Stegostoma tigrinum: one gene and its partner. The protein of the gene in region 1 purifies or fractionates together with the protein of each later gene. This does not show direct contact. Links are inferred from orthologs where the notes say so. Each region holds a gene or a part of one and is shown on either strand. Other genes may lie near its edges.

The links. Proteins that work in one complex are often made in the same cells at the same time.
Region 2: the proteins of sdc2 (region 1) and caM kinase-like vesicle-associated protein purify together in Homo sapiens (affinity purification with mass spectrometry; 3 studies listed by BioGRID and IntAct, counting the BioPlex papers as one, with this or other methods). This does not show direct contact. The link is inferred for Stegostoma tigrinum from reciprocal best matches to the Homo sapiens genes SDC2 and CAMKV.

What each region holds. Positions count from the first base shown.
Region 1 is NC_081358.1:93,238,650-93,246,370, reverse strand, and holds the start of sdc2 (syndecan-2), read right to left. Parts: upstream 3,022-7,721; 5' UTR 2,892-3,021; intron 2,776-2,891; 5' UTR 2,542-2,775; coding exon 2,485-2,541; intron 1-2,484. UniProt on the Homo sapiens protein: Cell surface proteoglycan which regulates dendritic arbor morphogenesis.
Region 2 is NC_081364.1:13,128,055-13,135,687, reverse strand, and holds the start of caM kinase-like vesicle-associated protein, read left to right. Parts: upstream 1-4,610; 5' UTR 4,611-5,034; intron 5,035-6,213; exon of another isoform or gene 6,214-6,309; intron 6,310-7,633. UniProt on the Homo sapiens protein: Does not appear to have detectable kinase activity.

The DNA.
Region 1 (7,721 bases):
ATCAAGTCACAACGTCCACATCAGCTGTAAGCTTGAAATACTCCGTTAAAGTATAGACCATCAAAAATAAGAGGATAAGTAGGCCATTCAGCCCTCGGTAAGGTATTAGCAGATCATCTACTTCAAAACTATTTTCCTGCTCTATATCTGTATCTATTAATGTTTTTAAATATGTAGAAATCTATCAAACCTCAAGTCTCGACCATATTTGGCTCTCAGGGCCAAAAATTCCAAAGATTCATCATTCATTCTCTCTCATTTCAGAGCTAATTGCTCAAGATGTCAGACTACTATAATCTGGTTCAAGATCTTCCACTTATACAAACAGGGGATATTCTAAGGACATTTGTAATGCAAACAAGGAATGATACAGAAAATTTGGTCTGTATAAGAAATTTTATTAATATTTGTCAAAACTTTACTATAACATTGCTGCATTTTATGTCAGCTAGAATGCCAACAGTACTCAAGACAGGTTCAGTCCGATTTGTAACTTGATCAATTTCTAGTGATCGTTCACATTTACTAGAACTTAATTTAGAATTTATTTCTGTTTTATATTAAAATTTTACTGCAAAGTTCCAGTGGAAAATATATCTATCAGTCAGAACATAAATACATTTTCTTCATTTGAAGAAAAGTTTAAAGCTATTATTAAACTTTTGTATTTGTTAAGAATATTCATCTTACAAAACGACAAAATGTGCGAGTAATTTTTCCAGCAAGTAGAGAAATTTTAATTGGAAATTCTTGTGCAATTTCTCAGTGAAAATTACCATGTGGTGGTACTTATTCAAAGAAGGTTTGCAAAGGTGGGTTAGACCGGAGCTGCACTGTTGTTTTCTAGAATCTTTTGGAAAGATCTTTTTTCAAAAAAAAACAGGAATTTTGTTACAAGCCATGTTTTAGAAATTCAGTTTTCAAAAAGAAAAAAATTACCGGGCACAGCAATGTATTCATCACAGGGAATAGGCTGAAGAGGCTAGATGGCCCACTCTTGCTCAAGTGACTTCAGTTTTTAATGAAATACTTTCAAAGTAGTTCATAATATGCTCTCTCGTAAGTTATATAAAATTGAACGGATAATAATGCTACAATAGCTCAGCACAGTGCCCAGAGATAAAAGATCCACGGAAATCAATTTCATGAAGTGGAGAAAATTGAAATAATGTATAATAAAAGGACTAACGGGTTACTCAGTGTCTTTCGTATTGTGCAGTTACTGGACTAGCTTGCTGCACAAATTATATTTAGAAGCCGCCACAGCGGCTGACAAATATTCACACTAAGACAGGTCTAGTCTTCGATGAGCTATGCATAGTTAAATTCTTACTCATGCTCAAAAACGGTTCTCATTGCGAGAGCATCTGTGTCAGATATTATGTTTTTTCTTAGTGCAGACGATACTCAATGCAGAACAGAAATGATATCAGCTTAAATTTCAAATTTGAACTGTGTACACATTTCGTTTGATCGTTATATTCTTAGTCAATTCCTGCCATGTTAATTTTCCTCTGTTCAAAACAGCGATTAATCATGCAGAGAGAGCCTAACGCATAACTGAACAATATCCTACATGATGCAGAAAATTATTGACGCAACAACTTGGTTGCAGCAAGTTTGTGTTGTACATTCCGATAGTCCTGTACTTCAAATAAAAAGTAGGCGCTAAGAAATCTCAGACGCCATCTAAAGGCTTCGCACAGCAATTCCAACACCAGAGCCCACCTGCACTTTCACACGCACAGGAACTTTGTGCCCAAGTTGTCCTTTTTCCTTTCACAGCTCTCTACTTCCGGAGATTATACGCTTCGCTCCTCTTAACAGGTTAGCTTGTGCCTTGATCCCTTTCAGTCAACGACAAGGGGGAATTAATTTACTGCAATCTGCTTTCCAGAGCCTCAGGCGAAACTACTTCTACCCTCCCATTCTAGCAGGGATTAAAGGATGTAACGTTCCCTCACGTGTATAGCGTTGTGTTTTAAAAAAGACTCGCCATAGCGAACTATATCGATCGCTTTATTTGGTTCGAATTCACCCAATCGGACCACAAGCGAAAAACAAATTGGAGGCTGGGAAGGGGGGTCAAAAATTCTGACTGTAATGAGATTAAAGTGGGAACCGAAGCACAATCCAGACACAGAATGTACATGGCTTGGTTTATATTCAATCCCACGTATCATTTCTTTTCACGCTAGATGTTTGTTATCTCTTACACACCCCCCCAACCCCGAAAATCGGAACTTTGAAGCCCGTTTCTCTCAGTAAAGATTAGACACATATGAGCGGCGGTAAAACGGTAGAGTCTTCAAACAAGTTACAAAATGTGTGGTAGCACCGGCGAGTTAAGGTACGCACTTCTCTCTCTCTCTCTCTCTCTCACACAGAGTATCCGCCGATCCGGAGCGATCCTGCTCATCAGGGAGACCCCACCACCGTCAGCACGGAGCACAGGGGTAATCCGAAGACGGTGTTAGCACTTACCAGCTCTCCGTTTGCCAGAGTGCAGAGTGTGAGGGTCAGGAGCCAGGCGACCTCCATCCTATCGCCGCTGGGCGATGGCTCACAGCACCGGGCGCTCGCGCCGAGCCTCTCGAACGTCCCGGGGATCACGCCGCGTTCTATCGGCGAAACCCGGCTTGTCCCGGCCGAGCCTGCAGCCTCGCGGCTCCACAAACTCTCCCGGCAAAGAAACCTTCTCCTTCTCCTACTGCTCCGGCTGAATGTTCCTCCGCGGACTTTATCCTCGCACGCTTCTCCTCAAATTCTCCCTGCCTAATGCGATGCAAACCATGAGTATGTATTTCAAGGAACACAGTCAATACAATTGCATGCAGACACCCACCCCCCAAAAAAACGCTCTCTTCTGCGGAGATTGTAGCGCCTCTTACCTAAAGCTCCTGCAGCAACCTCCTATGAGCCTCGGCAGCTCGATTGAACTGAGGGGAAAAGAAATCACTCATAGAGTGGAGCAGACGCGTGCGCAGCTCGTCTGAAAGGGGCCCGCTTGGTTTTGCTTGACATGGCCAATGGCGATAAAGCATTGCAGCGCCGCCCAGATAGCGGATCATGGAGGTGAAAAGCAGCTTTCCGCTGTGTTAGTCTAGTCCATTGCACAAGATGGGTGCTGAGTTGGTTTGGTTTGGTGGGGTGACATAAATTATCTGTTTCAGAGTAGAAATTGCTGAAGAAACTTAGTAGGTCCAGCAGAATCTGTGGGGAGAACGCAGAGTTAACGTTTCGAGTCCGGTAACTCGTCCTCAGAATTCTTCAGTGTTAACTCTGCCTCCTTCCCACGGATACTGCCCAGACCTGCGGAGTTTCTCCAGCAATTTCTCCTTCTGTTCCAGCATCCGTTGTTCTTTGTGTTTCGGTTTAAAACGGAGGGCTGGGAGGTTTGAGGTGGGGTTTATTCAGGAGGAGTAACCAGCGAAAAGTTGTTTACTGAAGTTTCTCACCTTTGTGTCTTAGTAAAGCTAAAATGTTAGTCAATCTTTTTTGGTTCATTAAACAGCCTCGTGAGCACTATGTTTTCTTTCTCAGTGGACCCTCTTGTTCAAGTGAAGATTCATTGTCTGCAGAAACCAGTGGATTTCTTTTTAAATTAGTTTTGTGAATCTGGCCGTTTAACTGCGCTAAGACTGACGGGGTACTTCTTTCGACAAATTATATGAATGAACAAATACGAATAAACAGCTGCTCCTAGTAGAAAAGTGGAAACAAAATTTACCTTTTGCCTATCTTTTAAACAGATCAGGCACAGACCGGCATTTAGATTTCTTGAAAGACCGTACTTCATGTTCGTACAGCTTTTGAAATATTTTCAAAGGACGTGCGTCAAAAAATAAACTTAATGTCGCAAAATAGTTACATATTTGGCCTGATATTTGCAACAATTAGCGTGTGGACTGCATGAACGTTTATTTTTAGAGTTTCACGTTGGGTAAAGTTGCTTTTCTACTACAAATACTGTTATTTTTCTGTCACCCAGAACTGAATTTAAATTCAACAGTATTTCAGTGCAGAAAAATAAGGCTGAAGCATTCATATAATCTTCAGCATGAAATGCCCGGTTGATGATTCACCTCAACCTCCCCAGTATTGATTCTAGTTATCAGGTAGTTTGCTTCATTCTACCTAATGACAGGAACTGTCTGGAGGTACTGGATACTGCAAAGGCTTTTGGCCCTGACAACCAGAATTGTGCTCCAGAACCTCCATGCCCCTGGCCAAGCAGTTCCAGTACAGCTGCATTACTGGCATCTAATGATCAATATGTAAAATTGCCCAGGTATATCCTGTAAATGAAAAGCGGGACAAATTCACTCCATCCAGTTATGACCTATCAGTCTACTCTCGTCCATCTGTAAAGTGATGGAAGCTGTCAACAATAGTGCTATCAACCAGCATTTGCTTAACAAAAACCTGCTCAGCAGAGATGCTGCTTGGCCTGCTGTGTTCATCCAGCCTCACATTTTATTATCTTGGTGAGATGCTGCTTGGCCTGCTGTGTTCATCCAGCCTCACATTTTATTATCTTGGAATCTCCAGCATCTGCAGTTCCCATTATCCCTGCTCACCAACTAACAGTTTAAGTTCCACCTGAACTGCTCAGTTCCTGACCTCATTACAGCCTTGGTTCAAACATGGATAAACAAACTGAATTTCAGAGATGAAATGAGAGTGGCAGACCTGGATATCAAGTGTGACATTAAGGAGCTCTAGCAAAACTGGAGACAATGGGAATCAGGGGAAAACTCTCAGCTGTTTAGAATCATGCCTGGCACATAGGAAGATGGTTGTGATTGTCGGCAGTTGGTCATCTCAGCTCCAGGACATTTCTGCAAGAGATCTTCAATAGAACATCCCAGACACAATCACCTTCAGATGCTTTAGCAACAACCTCCCCTTTATCATAAAGTCAGAGTGAGGATTTTTGCTGATGATTGTACAATTTTTAGCACCATTCACAACTCACACACCAAAGCAATCCACCTCCAAATGAGGCAAGACCTGACACATACCCACGTTTGAGCTGATGAGAGGAAAATATATTTGCATGACAGAAGTACCAAGTAATGGTATTTCCATCACTGAATCCCTACTTTCAAAATTCTGAGGCTTACCAATGAAAAAAAAACTGAATTGGACTAGCCATATAAATACTGTGACTACAAGAGCAAGTCAGAAACTATGACTCCTTTGAGAAACTTACCTGCTAACTCTCTAGAGCTTGGCTACAACCTACAAGGCACAAGTCAGAAATGTGGTGGACTACTCCCTAGGTGCCCTGTTGAGTGCAGCTCCAACAATGTTCAAGAAACTTAACATTACCCAGGATGAAGCAGCCTCCTTGATTGGCACCACATCAGTAGTGTCAGCAGTGTGTATCTATCTAGATGGTCCACTGCAGAAATTCACCAAGGCTCTAAAGACAGTTCCTTCCCATGATCACTACCACCTCAAAGGATAAGGGCAGCAAATACATAGAAACATCATCTGCTGGTTTCTCACCAATGCACTCTCAGTCTGACTTGCTGTTCCTTAAGTGTTGCTGGGTCAAAATCTTGAAATTCTCTGCCCAACAGAACTGTGACTCAACCTTCGGCAAATGGACAGTAGCGGTTTAAGAAGCCAGTTCACTACCACTTTCTCAAGGACAAATGTGAGTAAGCAATAATTGCTGGGCCAGCCAACTATGGTCACATTTTACGGCTGAGTATTTTGTTAAAAAAAAGTAGCATGTTAAGGTAGTACAACATTTCAAGTGGGTTCACAGGAACAATGTGTATCAAAGTTTGACGCTAAGCCACATAAGGGGATCACAGGACAGATGACCAAAATTTGGTGAAAGAGGTCATTTTTTAAGGAGCATTTTTAGTGAGGAGAGTTTAAATGAATTCCAGAGATTAGAGGCCCAGCAGCTAATAGTGAAAATGCACAGGATGTTGTATTTATGATTTAAGACTATAACAATAAATGTAGTATTTTTGTGATCTATTCTGATGGAAGTTCTGAAATGTTCACCCTGTTTCTCCCAGCACAGGTGCTATCATGCTGCTGAGTATTTCCAACAATCTCTGCTTTTATTTCGGTTTTCTCACATATGCAATATATTGTTCTAGTAGTGAAGATGGTGTTTTTATTGGTTATTGTAATATCTACCTGGAACCGTAGAAATGTGCTAAAGTGCATAATATAATGTAAACCAGATTACAATTCTAGTTTTCATATAATTTGTGTAAATCAAATATGCCTCTCTAATTGCAGTGGCCCAGCTTTTTATTGTTCTAGACAACAAGGTAATATGCAACAGTGGCCCAGAGCACTTGTTCTAGTAAAAGATTGCCTTAGCTTGAAAAATCAGAAAAGGGAAAGTTTGGCATCAGGTTTAGCAAAATGACTTACATTGGAATCTTACTAATCGTGACAATGAACAAGAAAACTACTGGAGTATAATGCATTCTCCAATACTGCCCTCATAAATGATCCTGATAAAAAAGATATTGAACTGGTTACCAACATCATTTTTAGTTTTGTTAACAATTGTCATTCATTTTCAAAACAACAGTTCATGCTTAGTCTATTTATTTCTTTAACAGAAACAATGGATTCTGCCAGCAAAGGGAATAGACTGATTGACTGCACAGAGATACATAAAACAGATACCAATTTGGGCAGACTAACGTCTTCATAACTTGCCAGTTGGAAAGGATCCAGCATCGGTGCCAATTTGCACTAAAGAGGGTGAAATGTGGTGTCCTATACCAGCTGAAGAACCTGCAAGACTGGAATTGCTAATTTTATTCTGCATGGGCGAAGGATCTGTTTAAAATGCAAACAGTGTGAAGCCCAGTGGAGCGGTCTCACCTTCCTGACCCACAAGGGATTCCAAAACAAGACTTTTAAACTTATTTCTGAGCCTCCTCTGGCCAATGTTCTACCTTACATCATTCAACTGACATTGCAAATTGAGTACAAATTGGCACCATTAGTCCTGATTTGCTTTCTGAAGTAGGACTTAGCTTCCTTCCTGTGAGTGTCTGGCTCAAAAGAGCAAGTTAATGTTAGGGGAAGGAAACATTGTCAGAACAGGTGATGTCATCTTCTTGAGCTGGCCTCCTCCCTAACTTTTCCCATTCCTATCTCCACAACACCATCTAGTTTCCTTTCAGGCAGGCAAGAGCAGTTACAATTCAAGCCAGACTTTCTGTATCTCTAGGGTGCTGCAGAAGATGTCCACTTGGCCAAAGAGCTGAATATTGGAATCTTGAAATTTACCTGAGCAAGAAAATGATTAGTATTGATTACAGTGTATAATAGTCTGCGTCAGGGGAATTTTCTATGCCTCCTATATTCTGGGACACCGTTCCACAAAATGAATAGTCTGCTTTTGGTGAATGAAAATGACCCTTTTCTGTACTAATGATTGCCAACTGGAGCCCACATCAACACAGTGAGATGATACAATGAAGTCCTTGTTACCAGCAGAATTGCTGTAGCGTATGCCATACATATATTAAACTAATCTTTCTATTGTTTGGGCCACGATTAAGGATGGTGCAATCTAGCAAAGCTGAACAGCAGTGTCACCACATGCTGTGCACTTCAGTCAGTAAGTGAGATTGACTATGCAGCAGATTCTAGAGTACTGAGGACTTAGTCATAGTCGTCACCAGAACTAGACAGGGTTATAGGCCTACACTCTCATCAGAGAGAGA
Region 2 (7,633 bases), on another chromosome or scaffold:
TTCTTTGTTGCAGGCAAGTGGCTCTGGTTTAGTTTAAGATTATGTTTGGTATGGACTGGTTGGGCTGAAGGGTCTGTCTCCATGCTGTATGACTATGTTTGGAAAATCTTTAATTGGATACTCAAGGATATGAGGATATGATTTAATCTCTAGTCATAACACCACAAACACTCTTAATGAAAAGAGTTCTCAATTGGTGGCTTGTTGTTAAAGACAAGTAGCTAAATGTAAACAGTGACACTCATGAAAAGTAGAAAGGTCTCAGCACACCTAAAAACTTGCATTTTGTGACTGTTAATGGTACATTACACCAACAATAATTTGTGTAACTCATTTAAAAATAAAAGCACCAGGAGAATTATAACAGGTCACAAAATGTTTAGTCAAAAAGGCAGATTTTCAGGAGTGACTCAAAGCAAGGAAGTGAGGCAATGCAATGGAAAGGTTTATCATTGGCCTGCTAAATTTGAGGGCTTGAGCAGCTGAAGGCCTGACCACCAGTGGTAGAATCATTAAAACCAAGGATGGCCAAGAGGCCAAGTTTGAAGCAGTACAGAGAACTTGAAGATCTATAAAACAGGATGATGACAGAGAGACAGGAAATTGAGTTTGCAATGCGGAATCAGGAACTCAAATCCCAGAAAAGTTCCACAATACAAGCGCAGATCCCATGTTTCCTTTCGATGTAATTAAAAGATGCTGCTGGAAGTGGAAAAACAGGGACAGTGAGGGAGCAGACGAAGGAACTGATCAGTGTATGTAGGTGCTAGTCAGCCCCAGAGAGGTGTTTCCAATTGCGGGGAGGTATATTTGAACCCCACAATAAAACCAACAGCTTTGCCCTGAAATATGTTAGGCCTTGTTGGGAAAAGAAAATGATATTTTGAGAACAGACAGGCCCCTTAATAAGTTTGTTTATACATATGTAAGTATAAGCTCCACTTAGAATAGAACATGAAACAATTCAGTCAGGAACTTTTACTGCAATTTTCCTACCATGTTGTAGCCTGGAGCAATGGATAGCGATTATAAGAGGTTCCAAAGTTCCTTCTATGGCTCACAAGGACACTATTCCACTCTAACCACCTCCTATAGGCACACGTTGGCAAGATTTGCGGGTAGATCACTGACTTGTTTTCCCCAGGTTACTAAGTGGAACTCGAGTAAGGAGCTTCCACCTCAGAGATTGGGTGACCAGTCCCTTGGACGAAAAGATCTCGCAGGAACATAAACAAAAACAAATTTGCTGCAAAAGCTCAGCAGGTCTGGCAGCATCTGTAGAGGAGGAAAAGGAGTTAACGTTTCGGGTCAGGTGACCCTTCCTCAGAACTGATGGTGGCTGGGAAAATGCCAGTTTATATGCAGAAAATGGGGAGGTGAGTGGGGTAGGGAGTAAACGATAGGATAGAGCCCAAAGAGAGAGAAAGAGAGTTGGACAGACAAAGGAGTTGCTAACGATCAGGCTGAGAGGGTGGATAGTTGTTATTGGGGACTGTTAGTGATAAACAACAGGGGGCGTGTAGTGGCAGGTTGTGTGGTAACAAGGACTGGTGTGTGGGGTAGGGGACTGGGACGTGGGAGAGTTTAGGCCCTAAAACTATTGAATTCAATATTGAGTCCTGAGGGCTGTAGGGTCCCCAAGCAGAAAATGAGGTGTTGTTCCTCCAGTTCCTCCAGCTTGCACTGGGCTTCACTGGAACACTGTAACAAGCCAGAGACAGAGATGTTGGCCAGGGAACAGGTTGGTGCATTGAAGTGGCAGGCAACAGGTAGTTGAGGGTCTTTTTTGGAGCAGAACATAGATGTTCTGCGAAGCAGTCACCAGGTCTACGCTTCGTTTCCCCAATGTCGAGGAGACCACATTGTGAGCAGCGAATGCAGTAGACTAACTTCTGAGAATTGCAGGCGAAGTGTTGCTTCACCTGGGAGGTATGTTTGGGCCCTTGGATAATGAAGGAACTTAAGGAGTGTTAATCAGCAGTGCATGTGTGACCTGGCACCAAAATTAAAACCTGTGAGGATCCTTTGAGAACTTCTGCAATTTTCATTTTGAAAACCAACCCACCACTGGGTTCTGGCCCAGGGGATCTCAGCAAATACAGAAACTGAGATGAGAAACACTCCCTGCTGGAACGATTGAGAAATCATTTCATACCATGCCTGATTCACCACAACCTGTGCAATTCCTGTTACACTGAGTATAATGAAGGCAATTCAACCATCGCTGGCAATTATCTTCATAAACTGTACAGGACAACCCTCTGAACTCGTGGTCAATCTTGGGAGATTGCAGGAGGGTACTGAATGGTGTAAAGTAGATCTGACACAGATAGGTATAAATCTTATGGAGTTAGGTGTACAATAAATAATCTCCCAGAGTTGGGTTTGCAATATCTCAAACCGGTGCTGGGTGTGCAATGAACCCTCTCCCAGTGCTGGGTGTGTAATGAACCCTCCCCCCAGTGCTGGGTGTGAAATGTATCCCCCCCCAGTGCTGGGTGTGTAATGTACTCTCCCCCCCCCAGTGCTGGGTGTGTAACGTACCCTCGCCCCAGAGCTGGTTCTGTAATATAGAACATAGAACATTACAGCACAGTACAGGCCCTTCGGCCCTCGATGTTGTGCTGACCTGTCATACCAATCTCAAGCCCATCTAACCTACACTATTCCATGTACGTCCATATGCTTATCCAATGAAGACTTAAATGTACCTAAAGTTGGCGAATCTACAACCATTGCAGGCAAAGCGTTCCATTCCCTTACTACTCTCTGAGTAAAGAAACTACCTCTGACATCTGTCCTATATCTTTCACCCCTCAACTTAAAGCTATGCCCCCTCGTGCTCGCTGTCACCATGCTAGGAAAAAGGCTCTCCCTATCCACCCTATCTAACCCTCTGATTATTTTATATGTTTCAATTAAGTCACCTCTCAACCTTCTTCTCTCTAATGAAAACAGCCTCAAGTCCCTCAGCCTTTCCTCGTAAGACCTTCCCTCCATACCTGGCAACATCCTAGTAAATCTCCCCTGCACCCTTTCCAAAGCTTCCACATTCTTCTTATAATGCGGTGACAAGAACTGTACACAATACTCCAAGTGCGGCTGCACCAGAGTTTTGTACAGCTTCACCATAACCTCTTGGTTCCGGAACTCAATCCCTCTATTAATAAAAGCTAAAACACTGTATGCCTTCTTAACAGCCCTGTCAACCTGGGTGGCAACTTTCAAGGATCTGTGTACATGGACACCGAGATCTCTCTGCTCATCTACACTACTAAGAATCTTACCATTAGCCCAGTACTTTGCCTTCCGGTTACTCCTACCAAAGTGCATCACCTCACACTTGTAATATACCCTCCCCCCAGAGCTGGGTGTGTAATGTACCCTCCCCCCCAGTGCTGGGTGTGTAATGTACCCTCCCCCCTGTGCTGGGTGTGTAATGTACACTCCCCCCAGAGCTGGGTGTGTAATGCACACTCCCCCCTCCCTGTGCTGGATGTGTAATGTATCCTCCCCCAAGAGCTGGGTGTGTAATGTACACTCCCACAGTGCTGGGTGTGTAATGCACCCTCCCACCCTGTGCTGGGTGTGTAATGTATCCTCACCCCCAGAGCTGGGTGTGCAATGTACACTACCCCCAGTGCTGCGTGTGTAATATACCCTCGCCCCAGAGCTGGGTGTGTAATGTACACTCCCCCCAGTGCTGGGTGTATAATGTACCCTCCCCCCAGAGCTGGGTCTGTAATATACCCTCCCCCCAGGGCTGGGTGTGTAATATACCCTCCCCCCAGAGCTGGGTGTGTAATGTACACTCCCCCCAGTGCTGGGTGTATAATGTACCCTCCCCCCAGAGCTGGGTCTGTAACATACCCTCCCCCCAGGGCTGGGTCTCTAATATACCCTCCCCCCAGGGCTGGGTGTGCAATGTACCCTCCCTCCCTGTGCTGGGTGTGTAATGTACACTCCCTCCCTGTGCTGGGTGTGTAATGTACACTCCCTCCCTGTGCTGGGTGTGCAATGCACCCTCCCTCCCTGTGCTGGGTGTGTAATGTACACTCCCTCCCTGTGCTGGGTGTGTAATGTACCCTCCCTCCCTGTGCTGGGTGTGTAATGTACACTCCCCCCAGGGCTGAGTGTGTAATGTACACTCCCTCCCTGTGCTGGGTGTGTAATGTACACTCCCTCCCTGTGCTGGGTGTGCAATGCACCCTCCCTCCCTGTGCTGGGTGTGTAATGTACACTCCCTCCCTGTGCTGGGTGTGTAATGTACACTCCCCCCAGGGCTGGGTGTGTAATGTACCCTCCCTCCCTGTGCTGGGTGTGTAATGTACCCTCCCTCCCTGTGCTGGGTGTGTAATGTACACTCCCCCCAGGGCTGGGTGTGTAATGTACCCTCCCTCCCTGTGCTGGGTGTGTAATGTACACTCCCTCCCTGTGCTGGGTGTGCAATGTACCCTCCCTCCCTGTGCTGGGTGTGTAATGTACCCTCCCTCCCTGTGCTGGGTGTGTAATGTACACTCCCCCCTGTGCTGGGTGTGTAATGTACACTCCCTCCCTGTGCTGGGTGTGTAATGTACCCTCCCTCCCTGTGCTGGGTGTGTAATGTACACTCCCTCCCTGTGCTGGGTGTGTAATGTACACTCCCCCTCTTCCGTTCCTGCCTAATCGCTTGAAGTCAGTGTGTATCCAGCGCTGCGCTGCTCCGCTTCTTTCCTGGTCTCTCTGACTAGTGTTGTTTGCCTGGCTCCCAGCTCGCTCTGCCTGAATCTCACTCTCTGACTGACTCAAACACCATCCAGCAACTGATCGGACAGCAGCACATGTGGCTCCCTGAAGAGACTGAAGCCCATGGTTCGCGGGGCAGTGGTCCATCTGGAGCATCGTACTTCTCCTCCAAGCAGAGCAGAGAACTCAGCGAGTGGGGCTCCAGTCCCTTTCATCGCCTCTTGTAAATAACACAGTCTTGGGACTCATTTAACCGGACAGGTGCCGCAGGAATTAGACCACACGTCCACCAAGTGAAAGCATAACAAAGTAAGTATTGTATTTGGCTGTACTGGCAGATTTGCAGGGGATGCCGGCTCGAAGCGTTGTCTGTAGAATCACAGGTTAAAGCGGCGATCTAAAATACCTTTTAACGTTGCCTCATTTTTTTGGCTACATTTTGGTTAAGTTTTTTTAAGTGCCTGGTCACCAATGCTAGGCTGTTGACGAAGTGTTCCAAATTTGGGCTGTATTCAGTTTGGAAGTATGTGTGCATCTGTGTGTGTGTGTGTGTGTGTGTGTATGTCTGTGTCTGTCTGTCTGTGTTATGTGTACGTATGTGTATCTGTCTGTGTCTGTCTGTCTGTGTGTATGTGTACCTGTGTGCGTGTGTGTGTGTGTGTATGTGTATCTGTCTGTGTCTGTCTGCCTGTGTGTATGTGTACCTGTGTGTGTGTGTATGTGTATCTGTCTGTGTCTGTCTGCCTGTGTGTATGTGTACCTGTGTGTGTGTGTATGTGTATCTGTCTGTGTCTGTCTGCCTGTGTGTATGTGTACCTGTGTGTGTGTGTGTGTGTGTGTGTGTCTGTGTGTGTGGAATTGCCAGCACCCTGGATAATCAAGCACTTGGAGTTTCTTATACACCGAAAACAAAGTTGGGACGCACAACAATGCCGGGTGCTGTCATTCTGTTTGGAAACATGTGTTAAGTGGAAAGATAATGCCGCTGGAAGAAAATTGTGACCTGGGTCTATAGCTTAAACTGTTGTTGCAGGGTGATTGTGGACTGATCCACATGGCACAGCAATTTAAACAAAAAATCCTTTTATTTTCAAAATATTCTCAGAGATGAATCTTGAAAAAAAGAACTTCCACTAGAAGCAATCCAGATTTTGCTTTTAGTCAGAGCTGTGTTGGGGTTTAAATCTGTTACATGTATGAAGGGGACTCGATTGTACAACAGCACCCTCGTCTGCATGAAGTGGTTACTAGCAGAGTTACAGTGGACAGCACTTTACTGGAGGTGCTATGGAAAATGCACATAGTTTGTCAGTTTTAGTGTTTTTGCACGTGTGTGTTTGTGTGAGGGGCTGGATTTTTGGACATATATACCCTGTAACATTTTCCACAACAAGAGTCAAGTTTGTGCTTTGTGCTATAAAGCTTTGACCGTCGCGCCTATTTAGTTTGGATAGGCAGCATGCATGAAAAAACAGAGCTTAATTCTTTACTATTACATAATACTGCGGAGATTTCGATGTGTCGGCGCCAGATTTCACATCTTCGCCCCCACTCCCCTCCAAAAATCTAGATACACTTCTGAAGGTACCTTTTTTTTTGTTACTTTCCCATCTTTGTAATTTGTCAACGTTCGAACGAGTTGTTGAAGCTGCACTTTATAACGCACTCTTGAGTTCGCAAATGCTCCGTTCTGGACACAATTATCCAGCTACGTAACTGAAGTACAGCCTTTTCAAGCAGATTGTCATCAGCGAGAGTGTGCTAGTGTGATCCCAGGTCCAAAGATACTTCATTCTCCCGGGATAATCATTCCAGTCCGCGTTACCCTCCACATTTAGCTTCCTTTCTTAAAAAAACACAAAACTCGTAAAAGATTTCTTCCTCCCTCATTCGTATCACGTTATGTATTCCAGTGTTTCCTATTCCCTTTCAATAACCCGCTGACTGGTTGATAATACAAATATAACTCAACTGAGCTCCTTATTCTTCATAGAAACATAGAAGATAGGACCAGGAGGAGGCCATTCGGCCCTTCCAGCCTGCTCCATCATTCATCACCACCATGGCTGATCGTCCGACTCAATAGCCTAATGCTTTCTCCTTTGATCCCATTCGCCCTAATGCTATATCCAGCCTAACGCTCCCACAGCGCAGGAAAATAATAGTAGTTCAGAGTATCCAGCTTTAAATTTGGAGGGACTGTTTTGATTTGGAGAATATTGCATTTGTAATTTGAGTCATTGAGTAAGAAAGGCTAAATATTTGCACATCTGACCTAAACTATTCCAGCGGCAAAGATCCTGATCAGTAAAATGTGTTTTAGTTTGGGTCTTAACAAAAATGAAGGATTTATCAACGTAACTGGGAGAAGATGTACTGAAGATGAGTCTGCCTATCTGCTGTCATTCTGGTTTGTCACTTCGGCTTGGAAGCTGACTTGAGAAGTCAAGTGGAGGAAATATGGTATAAAATGGGCAGGTTTGCTCTCAAATCCTCAGTACTGATTCTTCAGGGGCCCATGTTTGGGTACAAGTTCATAGGAAGCTTGAATTAAACATTTCTCTGGGCTTCCATGTGTCACTTCCACGGGTCCCGGACTCGAATTAATGACCAGCTACAGAATAAATCTCCTTCTGGTACTGTGACAATTTGCTGGAAGTCACAAATATTTTAATCCCAGTAGTGCTTGCGATTGCACTGCGCTGCCCTCTTCGTAAAAAGCTACACTGTAAATCCGGAGTTTGCAATATTATAATCGGATTGCCCGTGAACATCCCTTGCACCTTTATTTCGTTCTCAACCAGTGCAGAGGGCCACTGCTGAAAGATCGTTCAGTTTTTCTCAAGTTGACTCGTATAAATGTCTTTGTTTTATGTATCAAGGAAGCTCGCAAATGGTGGTGATGTGA